Linked DNA regions of Saccharomyces cerevisiae S288C. The protein of the gene in region 3 interacts with the protein of the main gene of each other region in a pairwise test. Each region holds a gene or a part of one and is shown on either strand. Other genes may lie near its edges.

Evidence for each region.
Region 1: the proteins of ENT1 (region 3) and BEM3 interact in a two-hybrid assay, tested with the Saccharomyces cerevisiae proteins (one study listed by BioGRID).
Region 2: the proteins of ENT1 (region 3) and END3 come close enough for resonance energy transfer, tested with the Saccharomyces cerevisiae proteins (one study listed by BioGRID).

The regions. Positions count from the first base shown.
Region 1 is NC_001148.4:331,578-337,306, forward strand, and holds BEM3 (GTPase-activating protein BEM3), read right to left. Parts: upstream 3,910-5,729; coding exon 523-3,909; downstream 1-522. Other genes in the region: HOS3 (histone deacetylase), read left to right, coding at 1-122; YPL113C (glyoxylate reductase), read right to left, coding at 4,376-5,566. UniProt on the Saccharomyces cerevisiae protein: GTPase-activating protein (GAP) for CDC42 and less efficiently for RHO1. Negative regulator of the pheromone-response pathway through the STE20 protein kinase.
Region 2 is NC_001146.8:469,532-472,937, forward strand, and holds END3 (End3p), read right to left. Parts: upstream 1,572-3,406; coding exon 522-1,571; downstream 1-521. Other genes in the region: MKT1 (Mkt1p), read left to right, coding at 1-92; Ca(2+)-binding ATP:ADP antiporter SAL1, read left to right, coding at 1,846-3,330. UniProt on the Saccharomyces cerevisiae protein: Component of the PAN1 actin cytoskeleton-regulatory complex required for the internalization of endosomes during actin-coupled endocytosis. The complex links the site of endocytosis to the cell membrane-associated actin cytoskeleton.
Region 3 is NC_001136.10:165,987-169,583, forward strand, and holds ENT1 (epsin), read left to right. Parts: upstream 1-1,727; coding exon 1,728-3,092; downstream 3,093-3,597. Other genes in the region: DNA ligase (ATP) CDC9, read right to left, coding at 1-1,268; MHF2 (Mhf2p), read right to left, coding at 3,380-3,597. UniProt on the Saccharomyces cerevisiae protein: Binds to membranes enriched in phosphatidylinositol 3,5-bisphosphate (PtdIns(3,5)P2) and phosphatidylinositol 4,5-bisphosphate (PtdIns(4,5)P2). Required for endocytosis and localization of actin. Negatively regulated via phosphorylation.

The DNA.
Region 1 (5,729 bases), on a different chromosome or scaffold from region 3:
CGAAACCGCATCGCATAAGACAGCCTCAAAACGCAAATACACCAACTTATGACGATAGTGATATATCAATGATTTCTCATGTTTCAAGAAAACATACAACAAGAAGTGGTGGAAGATGGTGATACCAATGCATATATAATGTTGTCTTGAACCCACTAAAGAAGTGACGCATATATTACTTTTTTGTATTTAGTAACACAATTTTTCTATTTTTATATTTCCTTGTATAGTTAGTAATTTTAATTTTTTTCCTTCTTTATCTCAGCTCTTCGACCATTTGGTCAAGAAGTTAGTTTTTTTCTCTTATTTTATTTGACAATATACTAATTTTATTATATGGTATTGTAAATAACATTTGAGGAATAAAAAGACAGTCACTCTATAAGCTTTATCAGCCTGACATTTTTTTATTATTACAAATATATCGTTGAAAGAAAGAAGCCTCTATACATCTCGCCCTCTTTCTATCATTAAATCAATGGAGGTTTACTGGCAACGTTATATTTCTACAATTTTAGACCATCAAACCTGAGGAATATGTATATCTACTTTCTCCCTTTCCTCTTCTTTAACTGGTTCACCACCCTGAAATATACACGCAAAGTCAGTGATGAATGGTTGAAGCATACTAATTGGAATATTTAGAGTTGGGGAAAACACGATGCATAAATTTCTTAGATTCATCTTATTAAACTTACTATTCTCATTGATCCTTACCAGCAGTTCAAAAAGAGCATACATCAACGATAGGTTAGCGTGAGGAACTAGGCCAGATTCAATAAGTTCCTTAAACCCCAATGATATTTGAACAGGATTATTATGATTTTCATCAACTACTCTTTTAAACGACAAAAATTGTTCGTCACCAAATAATAAATGGGGCAACTTTCTCAAGTACAACTTTAGTAACCCACTTACAGTATTCACACCAATGTAAAGACTTGGAGATGCCTCATCATCTTTAGCTTCAATACTTTCATTGTACCGACATAAATCTACATCGTACTCTTTATCAAACCTTTCTTGTAAAGTTTTGATAACTGTACTGGACCCGCTTAGTCTAAATATGCCTTCTTCCTGGATACCACGGTTTTTGTAAAGATACTCTAAGCAACGATAAACTACACTCGGTAAATCGTAAACGTTTTGGTACTTATGCGAACTCAATCTTAAACACGTTTCTAGTGACGAGCCAAATATTGCAGTGGACACATGTGGACCCGTAGAAGAATTTGACGAAGAGGATACTTCCATTAATTTTTTGCTTGGTGACTTAATGATAGAGTCAGGAGATGTTGGAGAATCCGAATCATTTGAAATTGTAATACCTATATGGTTCATTGCACTCGCCGGGCCGGTTAATTTTTTAAAAGGGAATAAACTTCTCATTTTGGCTCTCCTACTATCCTTCTCCTCCTCTGCATTCCCGCTTGAACTTGCTAGGAAGTTAGAGTGAGAAGATGGGTTTGAGTCAATACCATCGCTATTAGCAATGTTATTGCTACTATTACTAATATTGTTATTATTATTATATTCTTGGGTCAAATCAGTGACATATGATGGAGTATCGGTTGCTGAGATAGTTGCGTTTCCAAATTTAGAATGGTGTGTTCCTGCGCTCAAGTGAGATGCAGAATCAGTATCGTTTGCATTCCTCGAGCTAGATAACGATAAACTTTGTGAAGGATCAATGTAATCACTAAACGCAGAAAGCCATAATTCACGTTCCTTCGACGTTTCAGTACAAATATAATACTTTGTTGAGGTTGACAGTCCGCTTTTCTTATGCTCAGTGATCAAAAACCCATTTCTCGTTCCAAATCTATCTTCAGGGAGATTGGGTATAAGTTCTATAGAAGATTGTCTCAATTTAATAGTTTCAGTCAACTGATTTTTGTCAAACAATTGTAAAACATCATCGCGCAAAATACCGTACCGAACTCTCCATGTACTATTACCTGTTAGAGTCTTTGGTCTTCTCAGCAAAAGTGATCCGTCTTTCACATTATCATCCATCATTGGAGGTGTCATTACTGTATCTGTACTAATAAATTGGGCGATTTTTAAACCAACATTTTTGGGAAATTCAGGGACACTGAATATGCTTGTATAATACTGATTCAATATGTTCTTTCGCGTATCCACTTTTGTAGGTGATAAAGTCTGAAATAATTGTCTATCAGGTAACGTGGGCAATGGTAAATCGGGAACATGTGATTTCATATATACATCTAATTCGCGAACTTTATGAATAGATTTTGAAAATTTAAACATCTCCTTACCGGATTTCCTGTCTATGATTGCAATTAAAATGGATAAATCATCTTCATTATCCCTGTACAATGTGCTCAGTACTTCAATCTGGATAGTGCCAAAATCCTCCGGTTGAACGAATAATGGAATATCCGACTTAAGACTTTGGGCCACAGACTTCACGGTGCTCACGCTACTTGCATGAGGTCTTCTAAGTGTCTTCAACGAACCTTGGGGTGTTGAGCTAAATGTATTCAAGGTATTGGTTGAATGGATGGATGCCGTTTCTCCAAGTTGTTTTTGTTTTGATGAACTTTCCACGGGAGGATTTGGAGGAAGAGAAGCATTTTGACTTGTTGTTGACAATTTTGTAGAAAGATTGGGGAGTGATGAAGTTAACACAGGTTTCTTTAAATTTTTTGCACTTTGAGCACCAAAATTATCATCCTTTTTATTCAAGATAACCGGAGAAGCCAAATGGCTTGATAAAGGAGTAGAGTTTTTTATATTTCCACTAGAAGTAGGTGAGAAAAAAGTTGGAGGCGCTGGAGGTGGGGGTAAAGATTCGTTAATCGTGGATTTTATGGACAGAGGATCTTTACTGTCCGTATTGACTAGATCCTCTTCGCCAAATGAGGAGTCAAGTAATTGGGTGAAGTCGTCAAGTTTTTCTTTAGATGCTGGAGAGAAACCCAAAGCCTTGTTTTCACCCTCCTTGACTTCCAAAAGGGATGATGGACTTTTGGCTGCTGAAGTAGGAGTTCCAGTAGTGTATGCAGAGGATGTTATAGAAGAATAAACGCGGTCATTTTTTTGTATCGCGTCATTAGTTAGTTGTTGACTTTTACTTTCAGTCAGCTCATCTAAATTATTAGAGGTACTGGCCTTTAATGGAGAATGCAAATGGTTGTTGATAACAGCCGTCATTCTGTTAGGATTTTGAGGGGAACGCAAACGTTCTTGCAATGGAGATTTCGAACCTTTATTAGGTGATTTTATGGTTATCCTAGACGTCGTATAGGTAACAGAGGCAGCTGGGCTAGCCAACTGTTCTGAATGTATTTTTGTAGGGCTTGAGACAGATCTATTGATAATTTTGGGAGATGAGAAGCTACTATTTGCTTCTATTTCATCGTTTAGTATCATGTTCTGTAAATGCTTCCTACTTATTGAAGTATTTGATGTAACACCTATTTGAGGTACTGTAGGCGTTACACTTGTTTCAAGTGCAACGTCTGAACCTTGTTGCAATGGAGGGGACAATGTCGGTATTGGCAAATTAAGACTCTTGATATGCGCTTTCCTTTCAGCAGATCTTGGGGGTAACACAAATGATTGATCGTTAACGTATGAATCTCTTGAGTCATTTTGAACTTGCTCAAGCACAACTTCTAAGGAAGCTTCTCTGTTTTTTTGTAACATATCAATAACCTTTTCCAAACTCTCAATTTCAGTTTCATATTCTTGGACTTGTAGCTTTAGCTTAATGTTTTCCGTAAAAATTTCATCATAGGACGGATTTCTTTCTTTTCCTGAACATGTTCCTTTTTCTATATGTTCTATAGATTTGTCCTTTTTGGATCTATGATCATTGTACTGCGCCAACAATTCAAGGGTGGTACTACCACCATGAGTTGTGGTCAAATTATCTGTCATTGCGTGCTGTTAGTTGAGTGTGAGTTTATTCTAGAATATACACACAGATACTCCTAGCAGCCAGTGTTTCAACAAACGTGATGTTGTATATGCCTGATGTAATCACGAACTCGAACAAAAGGCAAAATGGTAGAAGGCAAGGACAAAGAAGAAAAGAGAAAAAACTTCCAGATACAAAGCTAACACACAAAGGTAAACGGTGATTAAAATGGATATATCGTTGATGTATTTAACAATCTTGAAAAATTCCGTTTAAAAAACATACCAATACGCGCAATAAAAACGGTTCTTATCTGGTACTTTACCTAGTCAGACGATTATTGTTCTTTATAAAACGGCCGCGTTTTTTTTCCAACATCACCGCCGCCATATAACTTTCGACATTCTTAGAGTTGTGGTATAAAGAGCAATGCATATACGTATGTAATCCTAATTGAAATGCTATCTTTGTAACATAATGAATGGTTCAGTTGAGCACATACTTACCATCACCTCCCTCGACAAATATGTCCTGCACATTCTCGAGTGTGATGAGTGTCTGCTTTATGACCATGTCGGCAACTGTGCTGCCGATATGTGGCAAAGCTGTAACATCCCATCTGCGAAGTAACTCTTGCTTAACGCGTGTTTCCTCATTTTTAAACACATCGAGACCACAGCTTGCCACTTTTCCAGATTCAAGAGCGTCTAGTAGCACATCTTCATCTATGCATGTGCCTCTCCCAACGTTAACTATCCTGACACCATCTTTACACCAGGCCAAACTTTTACGATTGATAATATTGTTTGTAGAGGCCGTACTGGGCAAGGCCAAAATGATCAAATCCGCATTCTTCCAAGTATTTGGATCATCTAGATCAGAATGGTACTTAGCGTTGTAATCAAGTAGACTCTTTTGGACGGGACCGGTCCTTTTGTAGTATTCAATGCTCATGTTGAACACTTTGTGCAAGTTAGACCCTATATTTTGTCCGATGGAGCCAAACCCCAATATTAGAACTTTTTTATTCATTGGAGATTCCATTTTTTTCCCGCCAACCGTGTACTTTTCTGCTAAATGTACCACTTTCCTATCCTTGTTAGGCTTGCATTTGTCTGTTCGAGAGGGAAATTTCATTTCCTGACCGTGGTAACTATCTGTAACAATTTCATACGAGTCACTAGAGATATATTTCTTACACTGTTCAACATTACCATTTTCCACGTATTTAAAACAATATTCCCAAAATGAAGTCATTCTAAAGCAGCTAATTGCTAGGAAAATAGCCAATTCTGTGACATGGTCAGCAGCATGTGGTCCAATGTTGCATAAAGTGATACCTTTCGATCTTAATAACTTACCGTCAATAAAGTCACAGCCGACCCATGGTACAAGGATTACTTTTAAAGATGCGGGGAAGAATTCAATATAACTCGAAGGGTTTCCTAACACAGTGAAAAACTCCTCAGTGAGCCAAAAGCCGTTTATTCTATGAGTTTCCAAAAATTTAACAAAATCATCCTTTGTGGACATCTCATATTTATAGAATTCTACCCTTTCTGCCAGTTTGCGATATTCAGGAAGATGACTGGCGACTTCCCATTGGGTTTTATAAGGCACCAAAATTCTTGGTTTGGCAGAATAAGTTACATCTGCTATGTCAATTGAAGTAATCATTGTTATTTAAAGGTTGCTACTTTTGTACACTCAAGTATTTTTCTGTATTTGAGAGAGAGCTATTTGTACTCCACACTCCACCTTTTAGATCTGCGTCAAAGTGTCAGAATAAACATACCGTAAAACGGAATGACTACCGCCACCCCAATGACATAAAAACGGA
Region 2 (3,406 bases), on a different chromosome or scaffold from region 3:
AGGAGCTAAATGCTGCGAAATTAATCGATGAAAACGTGTTTAAATTATTCACTAAAGCAGTTGAGTTTACTACAACAGCTCTATCTAGCTGAAGCGTGAGAATGAGTATGATGGAAATAGTGGAACTATTTAAAAAGCACCCAATAAAGAAAGATAGTTACTGTAAAGAGGTATATTATCATTATTCAGAGGGTTCAAGTACCATCATCAAGATTTAACACAAGCACAGTGAATAGCAACAATTAAAGAAAAAACTAATCAAAATCACGGTAGAAATAGGAGAAAAAAAGTAAAACAGAAACTAAGTCACTGTTTCTTTATATGACATATTCTATTATATAAATATGTAAAGAACGCTGAACAGTAAAAATTTTATGAAATTCCGGCAGAGAAGAAAAGGAAAAAATAAGTATACACCACACCGTTACTGGATAGATTGAAGTTCAAATCAAAAAAGTTTACAAGTGAAATAACAAACAGTAAATATTACACATTCATGTACATAAAATTAATTATCGGTGTCAATTGATTTCTGCTTGTAATGCTTGCAATTCGTGTCTCTTATTGTTCAAGTAATTCTCCAATACTTCAACCTGCTGTTCAATGTTATCCAAGTCATCAGTTATCGACCTGATGTTAATCCGCTTAGAAAGTTTTGAGCCTCCTTGAGTTTTTTCACTCTTTTTGTAGTTCAAAAGGCCTTCTAATTGTTCTCTCATGTTCGCAACTTGATCATCTGTCAGAGAAGCATATTTTTGCTTTATACTGTCTTCATTTGAAAGCACGTTACTGCCACTGCTATCGGAACTCGAGTTCTGCCCATTGTCACGCAGATTGTCCACTTCGTTAGCTTCTTCTTTTCTCTTTGTAGGAGGTTGAGAGGACCGTAAATCATAGCTCAGTTGTTTTTTATTGCACACCTCCGCCAGAGAATTTGGTAAACTTGCTGGAATTTCAGCACCCAAATCATTTCTTTGTCTTAAACAGTGAATAAAATAAAAAGTAGGATCTCTATCAATTGATGGCAAATTTTGTGGGTTAATTAAACTCCAAACCTTATTTAAATCTGTCTTACTGATGTTAAAAAATTTTGTGGAAAGTTTTGTTGACAGTTCGTTGAATGTAATAGTACCATCGGTTAGTTTTGCACAGCTATTATAAATTTTTTCATATTGATTCAAATCATCTGGAGACATGTACCAATCTACTTTGATTTCCTTCTTTGGAGGCAAGTCTGCGTTTTCTATTTGCTTGCGCTTCTTTCTTTCTTTGATTAGATTCACCTTACTCCCTGGAATCAACCAATCAGGCAATTCATCTGGAACAGAGCTAATGTTTTTATTAACCATATCAAATATTAATCTCATGCAAATTACAAATTCCTCAAAGTCTAAATTGTCGTCGTCATCAATATCAGCTAAAAACCAAATCTTGTTTAGAACCGATGAATCTAATTTGGAATTATAAAGAATTGGTAAAACCTGGTCATGGTTTACCTTATTCTCTATTGGTTTCAAACCCGAGAAGATTTGCCAGTATTTTTTTATTTCAAATTGTTCCAACTTGGGCATTTTTCAGAGATCCCTGTTATCTTTACCGGCCTTTCCAATACCCACTAACTCTATGGTTATATTACAATCGTCTGATTATAACAGGCAATTAACCTTGTGTTTCTGACGTTCTTTTCATTCATTCTTGATATGTTAAATCATAGGGGTCCTACACGATCGTCAAATATGATATTTAAAAAGTAATAAATAAAAATGCAGCTTTTTTATTAGCGATGGGAAATATTGAATATTTGAAGGGGCAAATAACGTTTAATTCAATCGAATGACGGTCTAAATGCTGCTGAAAAATTGCGAGACGGACAAGCAGCGAGATATACGGTATGCGTGTTTGTTCAAGGAACTTGATGTTAAGGGAAATGGTCAAGTTACTCTAGATAATCTGATAAGTGCTTTTGAGAAGAACGACCATCCGCTCAAGGGAAATGATGAGGCAATCAAAATGCTGTTTACTGCAATGGATGTTAACAAGGACTCTGTAGTTGATTTAAGCGATTTCAAGAAGTATGCTTCCAATGCCGAATCTCAAATTTGGAACGGCTTCCAGAGGATAGATTTAGATCATGACGGTAAGATTGGCATTAACGAAATAAATAGGTATTTGTCAGACCTCGACAACCAGAGCATATGTAATAATGAACTTAATCATGAACTTTCAAATGAAAAGATGAACAAATTCTCGAGGTTTTTTGAATGGGCGTTTCCAAAGAGAAAAGCCAACATTGCGCTACGAGGCCAGGCTAGCCACAAAAAGAATACTGATAATGATCGGTCAAAGAAAACCACCGACTCAGATTTATACGTTACATATGATCAATGGAGAGACTTTTTGCTGCTGGTACCGAGAAAGCAGGGTTCGAGACTTCATACTGCTTATTCCTATTTTTACCTATTCAACGAAGATGTCGATCTGTCCTCAGAGGGAGATGTTACTCTCATAAACGATTTCATTCGCGGGTTCGGGTTTTTTATTGCTGGTGGTATTTCAGGTGTTATTTCAAGGACTTGTACCGCGCCATTTGATAGACTGAAAGTGTTTCTCATCGCAAGAACGGATCTATCCTCGATCTTGTTAAATTCAAAAACAGATCTCCTTGCTAAAAACCCCAATGCTGACATAAACAAGATATCATCTCCATTAGCAAAGGCTGTCAAAAGCTTATATAGGCAAGGCGGGATAAAGGCTTTTTATGTTGGGAACGGTTTAAACGTCATCAAAGTTTTTCCAGAAAGTTCGATAAAGTTTGGTTCTTTCGAGGTCACCAAGAAAATAATGACCAAATTAGAAGGCTGCCGCGACACAAAAGATCTTTCAAAGTTCTCTACTTACATTGCTGGTGGTTTAGCTGGTATGGCAGCTCAGTTTTCCGTTTATCCTATAGATACTTTGAAATTCAGGGTGCAGTGCGCTCCTTTGGACACAAAGTTGAAGGGGAATAATTTGCTCTTTCAGACTGCAAAAGATATGTTTCGAGAGGGGGGGGGTCAGATTATTTTACAGAGGTGTCACAGTCGGTATAGTGGGCATATTTCCCTATGCTGCATTAGATTTGGGGACTTTTTCTGCCTTAAAAAAATGGTATATTGCCAAACAGGCAAAGACCCTGAACCTACCACAAGATCAGGTCACTCTAAGCAACCTGGTTGTACTTCCAATGGGTGCATTCAGTGGAACTGTAGGAGCTTCTGTTGTTTATCCAATCAATCTTTTAAGAACAAGACTACAAGCCCAAGGAACATATGCACATCCTTATGTGTATAACGGCTTTAAAGATGTTTTGTTAAAGACGCTAGAAAGGGAAGGTTATCAAGGTCTATTTAAAGGTCTAGTACCAACT
Region 3 (3,597 bases):
TCACCATCGTATTTGTATTCTGACGTAAAAGTTTCGCCTTGAAATCTATCCAATACTTCATTAATTGCCTTGGTAGGCTTGGCTAACATGGGTTTCAATGGAATTCCTGGTCTTAGAGTACAATATTTATCTAAATTCATAATACCGTGTTCCAGGCATGAGTTTATAACAATTTCATAGTTGGGTACTTGACAAAATGCGTCTCTTATCTTTTGTTGAGCACTTTCTAACACATCCATGGGGACATCTTTGTCTGGAGAGTCCTCCCTATTTTCATCATGGAGCAAAAGAGCCTTCGATAGGGATATTAAGACAGTCTTTTCAGCAAGACCGATTCTCAATTTTGACTCTAGGGATCTAATCAAAAACTTAGCCTCTATACCTTTGCAAGCAGTAAGCATTCTCTTGATCAGCTTCATCTTTTTTAATTGTGAATCTTTGCCCTGAGTCTTAGCAATAGCTCTAAGATTTTTGAAGACCTCACCCACGGTCAAGGGTTTGGGCTTAAACATAGTGGGTTGGACATTTCTCGCACCCATTGCTATTTCACCCAAATCCCCAATATCCTTGTATTTAAGTTTAATTTGGCTCATGGATTTCCCGCAAGTTTCGCTTATGGTTTTCATAAGAAGATTTTCTCCAAGGCCTAATTCCAAGCCTGCTTCGTAGTCAGGGCCCAATCTATTGATGAAAAGGTATGTTGTAGGTATTAAGTTCTTAGACGATTGCTTCATTATCTTAATAAAGAAATCAGAACAGATTCTTATAATCTCTAAACGGGAAGATATGGCCTCAATCTTGTTAAAAACCTCACAAACTTCAGAATAGGGGATATTAGACGAATAGTGATCATTATTATTTGAGCTCAAGGCGTCTTCAACTTCACCTACCAACCTCTGAGATTGTTGCGGTGAATCAGCAACACCGGAAGAGGGAGCGGATGATGGTATAGAAGAAAAATTGCTACCCATGGAGCTTGGAGCTGCTACAGTATGTGTAACAGCCGTCTGTTTCAATTTCTTGGTCGCGTATTCCTCTTCCCCACTAACATTATCCATTCTATCTTCCAGCATATGTTTGGATGATTTTTTGGGAGAAGGAGTACCTTCTGTTGGCTTATTTTTCATGGAAGTGAAGAATCTAGCCAAAGTGGCTTGTTTAGGCTTCTTACCGGCAGAGGAAGGTAATGAGGATGACATCAATAATGGCAATCTTGATTTCAAGGGACGTGCAGATGAAAGAAGGCAACCGGTCAGTAATCTGCGCATGTAATTGATGAACAATGACGTTAAAAGCTGCTCTAAACCTCCAAAATCATTACTTTTATTTTTGAACAAAGTACAGCGAGATGCAAACGCATGGCTTATTGCAGCTAAATTTCACTTTCACGCGTTTTCGCGTTAAGGTGAAAAATTCCATCAGCCATCTCAAGTGGAGGAACACATCGAAGCGAGCAAAAAGATGACAGAGTTAAACAGCAATAGAACCAGCGGCTGCAGTACGAATTCCTATTGCAAGTCTTACGGAAGGTTGGTGGGGCCTTATGTTGTTCAAAGTACTTGATTTTGGAAGTATGGTTGTCTGAAATTGTGGCTACGTATAGAGAATCATCCGGGTAATGATGAAAGTTTCTTTCAATGACAAATAGGAGTTTTAAGAAGTAGAAGAAAGAGCCGTTCGTATGAGTGCCAGGATCAGAAGGAAAGGGAGCAAGAGGCAGAACAATCATGTCGAAACAATTTGTTAGATCTGCGAAGAATTTGGTGAAAGGGTACTCTTCTACCCAGGTCCTGGTAAGAAATGCAACGTCAAACGACAATCATCAAGTGTCCAAGGACTCGTTAATTGAGCTGGCTGAAAAATCATATGATAGCGCAGATTTCTTCGAAATCATGGATATGCTGGACAAAAGACTTAACGACAAGGGCAAATACTGGAGGCATATCGCAAAGGCATTGACAGTAATAGATTACTTGATCAGGTTTGGTAGTGAGAATTGTGTTCTTTGGTGTAGAGAAAATTTATACATCATCAAGACATTGAAGGAGTTCAGGCACGAGGACGATGAGGGCATAGATCAAGGTCAAATCGTTAGGGTCAAAGCAAAAGAATTGACTGCATTACTATCTGATGACGAAAGACTGAACGAGGAAAGGAACATGAATATCAAGGGAAGAAACAGGAAAGGAAGAAGAAGAAGGGGAACTGGGCGCAGTGATGAAAATGACGATGATTTGCAAAGAGCCATTAGTGCTAGCAGGTTGACGGCGGAAGAAGACGAAAGAAGAAGAAAACAGGACGAGGATTATGAAACAGCTTTGCAGTTGAGCAAAGAAGAAGAGGAGCTAAAAAGATTGCAAGATTTACAAAGAATGCAACAACAGCAAGGCCAACAACAATTGCAACAACCTATGTATTATGATATTTTTGGTAACCCAATCACTCCTGAGGAATACGCACAATTTCAATTGCAACAACAGCAACAACAGCAACAACAACAGTTGCAACAACAACCAATGTACTACGATGTATTCGGGAATCCTATAACACCCGAAGAACTAGCACAGTTTCAACAACAACAACAACTACAGGAACAACAGTACTTAGCTTCTATGCAACAGCAGCAACAGGCAATGTCCAACAATCCATTTGCCAAATCAGAACAGAGCTCAAGTTCACCAAAACGGAACCAACTAGTAGCAGCTTCTTCTCCACAGCAACTGCAACAACAAAAACAACAAGAGCCATTGATTCAAAACAGGACAGGCAATCAATCAATGACAGACAAGTATAGTAAACTAAACGAGCTACTAGCCACAGGAACAGGTATTGATACATTCGGAAATGTAGGGGAGGCTCGTATTCCTGCCCAACATACGAAGACAGGAACATTCATCAATTCTCAAGGAACAGGATATAGGCAAGTATCGGATGATCCAAACCACAATCCGTTTTTGAACAGTCAGTATACAGGTTTACCAAGCACTAGCGTCGTACCAACACAAACAGGCTATGGCTTTGGTAACCAGTCTCAACAGCAGTCTCAAAATAATGGCTCAAATAACCGGGGATATACTCTAATTGATTTATGAAGTGATTCTGTCATTCCAGTCCGCATTTCTAATCAGATGAGCATTTTCTCGCATCGCATAATATATATGGACTAAGTAATTTAATCATTTCACAGCGCGTTTTGATGCAAGCGTTTAGTATAAAATGAACTGTATATTTGTATATGTGAGCGCACGATCGCTCCAAAAACTACTTTAGTAAACTAACGTAGTTCAGGACGACTGAAAGAAAATATAGTGCTTTAAATTTATCAGACAACCAGGAATGTCTTATGTCTTTACATGGATGTAATGTAAGTTGAATACTTTTACATATCCATCAGAAGAAGCCCTACGATACGCTCTAAATCTTGATGCGATAACTCTAAGGGACTTTTATCGCCACGTTCTCCGTTAATGTCCTTGTGAGATTGCAAGGACCGCAGCACCGCCTCATCAATGAATATATCCAAATATTTCTGTATCATTGGTACTACTTCATCGGCAATTTTCATATCATTACCACCTTCATTTTGGCTGAGGATTT